Linked DNA regions of Callithrix jacchus. The protein of the gene in region 1 interacts with the protein of each later gene in a pairwise test. Links are inferred from orthologs where the notes say so. Each region holds a gene or a part of one and is shown in the gene's direction. Other genes may lie near its edges.

Region 1 (3,987 bases):
GGGAATCCCTGTCTTTACCAAAAATATAAAGAAAATTAGCCGAAGACGGTGGTGCCTAGTGATTGGGGAGATTCAGGTGGGAGGGGATTGCTTGAGCCCAAAAGACCGAGGCTGCAGTGAGTGGAGATTGTGCCACTGCACTCAGACCTGGGCAAGAGTGAGACCCTGTCTCAAAAACAACAACAACAAAACAAAAAACTTGTCTGTGGGGTAGACTGTATTTATTTTCAATCATATTTCTTTTCCTAATACTCTTTTGTGTAGCCTATATTGTAAAATGAGGTTGAGGTGATTGAACACACTGTTAATAGAGTGAGGAAGTGGTTAGAGTTAAAATTTCTTGCTGAAAGTGGGTAATCTGCAATTCCCTACATTGGGTTGATTCCTCTCTGCCAGCTCTTGCTGCATTTAGAGGCTGCCCTAAGCATGATGTAATGACAGGTTAAACCTCTGCACGCACTAGCTGATGCAATGCAAATCTGAGGCCCAGGACTTTATTGGGGCAAGGGTAATGCTTGTTTAAAAACAAAACAAGCTACTCTGCGTTTAATGAGGCCATTTAAGATGGCTTTCCCAGAGTGGGAAGAGAGTATACTCTCTTAGGAGGTTTAAGTAGGAGTTTAATGTGGCAGAAGTATGCTTACTACTTTTCCTGCAAAGTGTTTTCGCAGCGGGGAAGGGGAATTTAAAATACATTACCGATAGGAGAAGTGAAGTGAGCTAGAATTGAGGAAATTAGTAGTTGATGCCAGTAAATAGCTGTTGAATGAATTAGGGAGAATGTTTTCACTCCAAAATTTTAGAGTTCGGATAAACGTAGAGCGGAGCGCCAGTGTGGCCACGCATTTCAAGATACGCTGTAGCTCTTAGATTGAAACCGTAAGAAACTCCTGATATGAGACTGTTCTGACACACCGAAAACGGCATGGTTCCACCTAACTTTAAACTGGTGGAAATGCTGAGGAAGGCTCGATGTCGCTGGGGTGCGGTGGTATGCGGTCCATGGCGGGGTGGGGTCCATGGCGGGGTGGCACGGGGTCAGAGCTGCGGGGTCCCGCGGCCCCGCCCTGGGTTGTGGGGCGGGGCTTGCGGGCACGGCCCCACCTCTGCGCGAGCGAGACGGGCACCGCCCTGCACGCTGCGCGCCCTGGACTGGCCCTTGGCTCTCCTGGTTGGAGCGGGCGTTCCCGGCGCAGGCCCATCCCCAGCTGGCCGAGGCTCCAAATGGCTCTCCCGGCAGGCGGGCTCCTGCAGTAGCCCCTGAGCTGGCTCAGGGAGCGTACTTCCTTCTCAGCCAGCGGGTCACCCCTCCACCAGAGCCGAGCAGGAGCCTACCCAGTGAATCTGGAGAAGACAAACTTGGGAGACAGACGAAGGCTTAGGGCATGGTGGAGGACAGCGCAGCTGTGGCTCCCATTTTCGGAGATGCAGCCGAATTTGAGCTCACGGGGAGGTGTGGTTGCCTCCTGGGGATGGAAAGGCTTTCTTTCTCCACCTCTGTAACTGGTGCTTCTGAGAAGTGAAACGATATTTGGATCCTGACCTCAGACGCCAATTTGGGTCTTTTGTGTTTAGGAGCAGAAAGTGCCCAGGAGGGTCCTGTACCTTTACTTCTTGGAAAAGGCAGTGAGCTGCCTGAGTTCTCATGACGGGAAAGCCTATTCCACCTTCTCTTTACTCCTGGAGGGGAGTCTTGTTCACATGTTTACCGGCGACTAGGACAAGGAAGAGAAAAGGTATTGACATTAACAGGATGGGTTGCTGAGGCTGTGAAACTTGAACGCTGTTAGTCAGTGGAACCTGCCTGGCTTACGGAATGGCTGCAGCAGAATCGAGCTGTTTCCTAGGTTAGCAGTCATGTTTCATTTGGGCTGTTGTGCTTTTTTTCTGTTTAAATCAAACTTCAGGTTACGTCATGACTTCTGCAGGGCTGTCCTTGGTTCCTACTGCAGGGCGGCTGTGTGGTTGGGATTCCTTTTCTGTTTCAAGATGGAGCTGGGTAGCACCTTTGGAGCTTGGAGAGGCTTTAGCAGTTGCTGTCCTGTATACCTCCATTTACAAGAAATCCTGTTCCCATTTCGGTTTTCACACTTTGAGTAAGAGTTAAAATCTGCTTTATTACAGTGTTTGGAAAATGATAAAGATATATTGTAATGTGAGCCTGAACTGTTGATGATAAATGTATAACTACTGCTAGGTCAAGAAATTGAAAAATAATGTTTTGATTGGTCTGTAGCTGTGTTGTGTTAAATATAAACTGAGTTTACTGCCCTTGGATGTGATTCTCTGGTTTGGTTTGGTAATTTGAAAGGTATTGGTTGCCTAGACTGTTTTGTGCCCAAGGAAACACTTTCTAATTGTTATGCTGTTAATTCAGTAAGCAGCATAAACTGGACCATGCAGTAGGCATACAGCATACAGCCAGGATGTTTTGGCAATGCTGAGCCCACTGTTTTACAAGTGACATAAAATGTATGGATCATCGTATGTACAAAGAATCCACTCAGGGAAACCGGATTACAGGAGAGTTCCTTTACAGTCCTTTTGTCAGGGTACAGAACACCTGGGTTACACAGGGCTTCAGATGAGAGTTGATTCATGATCTGAGTCTATATGATGAGACACATTATGATGGAATTGTCACTTTTGTTGCCTCTTGAACTTTAAAATATATCTTTAGTGATGTGGAATTAATCTTTATTTTTCCTTCACCCTCAGCCTTCATTTAAGGTATCAGTTGGTAACCACCTGAGTAATCTAGAACCCAAGTTGCATTTACTTGGTCATATTGGTAACTAACATTGTTTCTCAAAAGTTTCTTGCAACAGAATAATGACTATAATTGAGATAAAACATTAACTTTAAGGCTTTAACTTTGTAAGAATATGGCTTAGTATAGTTACTAGGAGTGTATTCTTAGGACATCGACCGATCTATTTTTTCACCCCCAAGACAAATAGTGGCCTCCTATATCCCAGCCCAGGGAGCTCTTTGGGATGAGTTACTTGTTTTATCTTTGACTCAGCCTGACTAGTTACATTGTCGATCATTTCTTCCAGATGACATTTATCTGTCAAATAATGTTGATTAGTCTGCTGATGAATGTTTAAACAACGCTGGAGAACCCTAGGCTAAGGGGTTCTACACCTGTTGACTCCATCCCCCACTCCCAGTGTGGTGTGTCTCTGCCGTGCTATCTGTATTCTTCCCCTGTTCAGTTTCTCCCTGACTCTCCTTCTTTGTTCATTATGTCTGATTTATATTGTGGATTGCAAATAGAGAAAGATATGCTTTCTCTACGACACCAAAAAGTTTTATTTGAGATGGCTCTCCATTTCTCCCACGTCTCCCTTCACTTTTGCTGTGTTTTTATTTATTTTTATATTTTTGCTACCTTCACTAGAGAGTACATCCCCTCACTCTTGAGGTGGGCACTGATCAGTAGGAAAGAAGATCAATACCTGGCTGATGATAATTTGGGGGGCAGATTGATAGATAAAGGGGATGGCAGCAGATCTTTCCCCTTGTGATCCCTCCCCTCATTCCTAAATTACACCTCTAGAGTAGGTAACTGCTCACCATTAAGAAGAGTTAATGGAAGGCATTTGAACTACACTCATCCCGTGGTATCCTCGGAAGATTAGTTCCAGGATCCCCTTCCCCATACCAAAACCTGAGGATGTTCAAGTCTCTGATAGAACATGTTATCATATTTGTATATAACCTGTGCATATTCTCCTGTATAATTTATCTCTGGATTACTTACACTTAATACAATGTAAATAATAGGTAAATAGTTGTTATATATGTTTTATTTTAAAAATTTTGTATTATTTTAAAATTTTTCTGAATATTTTCAATCCATGGCTGGTAAATAGTTATATATGTTTTATTTTAAAAATTTTGTATTATTTTAAAATTTTTCTGAATGTTTTCAATCCATGGCTGGTGAAGTCCTCAGATGCAGATTCTGTGGTTACAGAGTGC
Region 2 (4,257 bases), on another chromosome or scaffold:
CAAGCTCTGTCCCCGAGACGCTCATGGCCCACGGAAAACAGAATTACAGCTGTTTGTGAATGACCTCTGACCAAGCTGGGGAGACACCGAGAAGTGAGTGGCTTTGCCAGGGAGGTCCTGAGAGGCTGCCAGGGAAGGTGACATTGAGGCCGGAACTTGAGCTGGGTGTTAAAAGGCAGGAAACATGGCAGGACAAGGACTGGAGTCCTTGGCCTCCTGGGGGACGTTTATTCCACACGCCTCGGGAAATCTGAAATGGGCTGGGAGAGCATTTGCTGGGGGTTGGGGGTGGGTGGAAGGGGACAGAGGGCATTGCCACCGGCAGGCGGGGCGTCCCAGGGCCTCTCCCCGGGAGCGGATGAGCCCAGACGCGGCTCACTCATCTGCGTCCAGGCACAGCCGGTTTATGACCTACGAGAATGGCAACCAAGGAGCAAGTCGGGATGACAAAGACGCCCAGAAGGGCACGCGCTTTTACGTAACCGACCTCTGAGCTGCAGGGTCTCAGGAGGTTGGCGCTCTGAGCTCAGGCGCGGAGAAAGGACGGCGCCCCTGACTTACTCTTTGGTAAATACGAGGGGACAGCAACGCGACATAACTTAGAGAAGTCCAGGGAGCTTTAGAGAGCAGGGCGGGCGGTCCCTCTACCATTCCGCAGAGCGCGGTTGGGGCGAACTCGGGCGCCCTTCCCAGCTCGGCCCTTGTACCTTCTTCCCAGATCACTCGCTGGGTGACCTTGGGCAAGCCACTTGACCTCTCTGAGCCCCAGTTTCCCAGCCCGTGCCTCTGGAAGGCTGTAAGAGCGTCGTGGGGCTCCCCACTCGACCCTCAGGGCCAAAGGTGGGCGCTGGGCGCGGGGGAGGGGCCCTTAGACGCGCCCCTCCTCGCAAGCGCCTCGCTAGTCGCGGCGGGCTCGCAGCCGGGAGCGTCCTCACGAGTGGGCGCCGTGCGCAGGCGCGGCGGGGCGGGGGCGGGGCGTGGGGCGTGGGGCGGGCGGGGTGGGGCGGAGCCGGGAGGGGCGGGGCTGGCGGCAGGCGCGGGGCTCCAGGAGCCGCGGCTCAGAGTGCGCTGGGCGGCGCGCGGCGTGCAGGTCGCGGTTGTGGCTTTGGTTTTGGCGGGGGCTGGCGGGGCTGGCGGGGCTGGCGGGGCTCGCCGTGGACTGCCTCGGGGTCGCGGAGCACGTTACCTGCCCGGCCCGAAGGCTCTCCTAACCGCGCCGCCCGCTCCCGCTCGTCCTCCGCCCGCGACCAGAGCGCGGGGATCGCCGGCGCTGGGCACTCGGCGGCCACCGGGGATAGGGGCTGAGCGGCCGGTTCCCGCCCCCGGGCCGCAGCCGCCGCCGCCGCCGCCTCCCAGCCGACCGCCCGGCTTGGCCGCCGCCGCCGCCTCTGGCCCCCGGGTCCGCGCCGCAGGGGGCGCGGGCGGGGTCGGGGGTTGCCGGGCGCTGCCGCCCGTGCGCCTGGAGTCCGCGTCCCGGGCCCGGCGGCCGGCGAGCATGGAGGAGAAGTACCTGCCTGAGCTGATGGCGGAGAAGGACTCCCTGGACCCCTCCTTTACGCACGCCCTGCGCCTGGTGAACCAAGGTGAGGCGCCGACCGTTAACTGCCTGCCCGCGGCGGTTGGGGGCCGGGTGGAAATGCGGGGTCCGGGGGGCGCCGCCGTGCCGGCTGCTGTCAGCGGACGAGGCGGAGACGGAGGCCCGGGCGGCCCCCGGGGGCGTTTGCGCGGGGACCTGGGAGGCTGTGGGACACCTGGGGCAAGACCCAGATGTGAATTTGGGGGGCTTGGAAAGGACGGAGAAGGCTGGGGTTCATGAGTGAGACTTGAAGGAAATCTTTGGAGACTCGGGGACACCCAGGGGAAACTTCTGGGTGGGGGACAGTGACCATTGGGGGCTTTGTTGGGGACAAGGTTGAATTATCTCGTGGAAGGGGAGCGTGATGGACTTGGGGAAGTAGGGTGTTTGGTTTGTCTAAGGCACTGGAGAAAAAGCTGGAGGAAAATGGAAGGACTTGCGGGGCTCAAATGCAGAAGAGGCGAAGGGAACAGGTGCTTGGATTGTTAGCAAAGTTTGGGGACCTTGGAAGAGGGTTGGGGTCAGACCCCAGCACCTGAGAGGAGAAGAGCTCGGTGGTCCCGGGGAGGAGCCCAATTCCCCCTCCCAGCCCTTTGTCTCTCCTGTGTCCAGGCACCAGCAGCCCTGGCGGGGCAGCCAGCCCTCCCCAGGGGTGAGCAGCCCATGCCAAGCCTTGCAGGCTGGCCCTTGGAGAAGTCAGGAGGGGAGAAGAGGCCGGCAAAAGAGCACCCTTCCTGGGGGCGTCGGGTTGGGTGACCCTCATTGGTGGCGGGCTTGAGGTTCGGAGCGGTGAGGAAGGAGTCTTTGCCATTTTCACTCGACTCCAGCCAGCTCAGGGTGTGAAAGGTCCTGGGAAGTACCGCAGGACAGGGATACGGGGGTTTCTGGAGGCACGCCTACCCGGGACCCTGTTCCCCTGGCTTTCTCCTCCTGTGGCTTCCTGAATCATCCGCTGGGATGCCCGGTAAATTAAGCCTTCCTTCCCAGGAGCAGTGTTCTACCCTTCCTGGAATACGTGTTTCAGATGAAGATGGGTGTGGGGGCCACTGGTCTGCCTTTTCTCTGGGAAATGGCAGCAACGTAATCTGGTCAGATCTGTTACCTTTTGCATGAATTACTGGGCACTGAAAGTCTGTAGTTCCCTTGATGAATAAGGGCTACTGCTCTTAATGCTCGCCGTGGCTCCTTTATTGTTGGAAGTGAAAGATGAGGCAGACATATTCTATTTGTATATAGAAACCTATATTTTAAAACAGTGACCTCCAGTATTTGCCTGTTTCAGCCAGTTCTTCAGAGTAGGGTGTGTGTGCGCGGTCCACCGATGGAGGTGGAGAGACTCTTACTGTCTCCAAGAATTTAAGAATGTTTGAATTGTTGAACAGAAATAGGCTTATGGAGCTCCCCCATTTTATTTTAATGGCAGGCTTATTTTTATTTCTTTAATAAAATGGACTCGTGAAAAAGTAATGGGCATGCATTCCTAAATCAAGGAAGAGAATTTAAGTTTGATTTGTGTGCCCTCTGAACAGTTCTGCAGTTGAGTTGGTACTCCTTGTGCCTGATGATTTACATGTATCTTTTATTGCCTGCTGGGCTGTCATCTCTGTGAAAGAAATTTCTTTGTACGTTGCATGAGATCCGTGCATGGCATTGGAAATATTCTCGAGTGTGAACTCAAGTGCATTTTTCCAAATGAAGCTGAATCAAAGTTAGGTTGTACTCAATTAAGGAACAGTTAAACTAAAAGTACAGTGTGTTATCTTATTTTAAAAGTCAGAATTATTTTCTCTGCCATGTTGCCATAGTATTGTGTTGCTAAAACATCCAGAATTTTTTGGATTCTGTGTTTTTACTACTGTTAATTGCTTCTAGTTACTTGAAACAGATATTTATTGGGAAAATGTTGCCATTTAGTTTTTTTTAAGGTGTTAAACTCGATAACCTTACTTTTCATAAAAGTAATTCTTGTAAGAATATAGTTCTCATATGTGAGGAAGGAAAAGAGGAGGTGAAGGAAAGAGGAGGTGCTGCTCAGATGCTTGTCTTACTGTTGATTTAGATTACTTAAGACTGAAACATTTTTCTCGTAAATCACAGGCTGATATTCAGAATGCAAAGCTTTATCATTTTAAATATTAATTATGCTTTGTTATGTAACTCCAAGATTACAAGTGTCTTGAGTCTGACATTACGTGATTGTGAGGAAGCTTTGATTTTTAAATCTGACCATCTTATCATTGGCTATATGAAAGCTTTTTTTTTTTTTGAGTTATATTTGTGTTTGCCTCTAATGCAACTATGTTTTCAGCAGTTAGTCACATTGGAGTTGCTGTTTCGGCACTAAATCGTAGCGTGGGTCAGCCCTGCAAACCTTAGCGTGCCATGTGATAGATAGATTTTATGGTATCTCTGAACTCTAATAAGGCCTTAAGTTTGCATAACATTTTAAAGTTTCCAAGGCGCTGGTTTCATCCTCACACGTGCATCCCGGTAAGGAAGATGTTCGTGTCTTCATTTTTCAGGGAGGGAGTTGAGGATCCCAGCTATCTAAGCTTGTGGACAACTGAGATTTAATTTGAATTCTCAGGTCGTCTATCTCCGAAGCCATTGCTCTTTCTTATTCTGCCTTCCCAAAAAGTTGGAACGAAATACTTCTCATTTGCTAACTTAAAACTCTTCAG

Evidence for each region. The genes of interacting proteins can lie anywhere in the genome.
Region 2: the proteins of SIAH1 (region 1) and KHDRBS3 interact in a two-hybrid assay, tested with the Homo sapiens proteins (3 studies listed by BioGRID and IntAct). The link is inferred for Callithrix jacchus from reciprocal best matches to the Homo sapiens genes SIAH1 and KHDRBS3.

Annotation. Positions count from the first base shown.
Region 1 is NC_133521.1:6,077,590-6,081,576, reverse strand, and holds the start of SIAH1 (E3 ubiquitin-protein ligase SIAH1), read left to right. Parts: upstream 1-1,183; 5' UTR 1,184-1,645; coding exon of another isoform or gene 1,646-1,736; 5' UTR 1,737-1,816; coding exon of another isoform or gene 1,817-1,847; 5' UTR 1,848-1,915; coding exon 1,916-2,096; intron 2,097-3,987. UniProt on the Homo sapiens protein: E3 ubiquitin-protein ligase that mediates ubiquitination and subsequent proteasomal degradation of target proteins.
Region 2 is NC_133517.1:61,926,206-61,930,462, reverse strand, and holds the start of KHDRBS3 (KH domain-containing, RNA-binding, signal transduction-associated protein 3), read left to right. Parts: upstream 1-1,448; 5' UTR 1,449-1,495; coding exon of another isoform or gene 1,496-1,583; intron 1,584-2,382; exon of another isoform or gene 2,383-2,533; coding exon of another isoform or gene 2,534-2,540; exon of another isoform or gene 2,541-4,066; intron 4,067-4,257. UniProt on the Homo sapiens protein: RNA-binding protein that plays a role in the regulation of alternative splicing and influences mRNA splice site selection and exon inclusion. Binds preferentially to the 5'-[AU]UAAA-3' motif in vitro.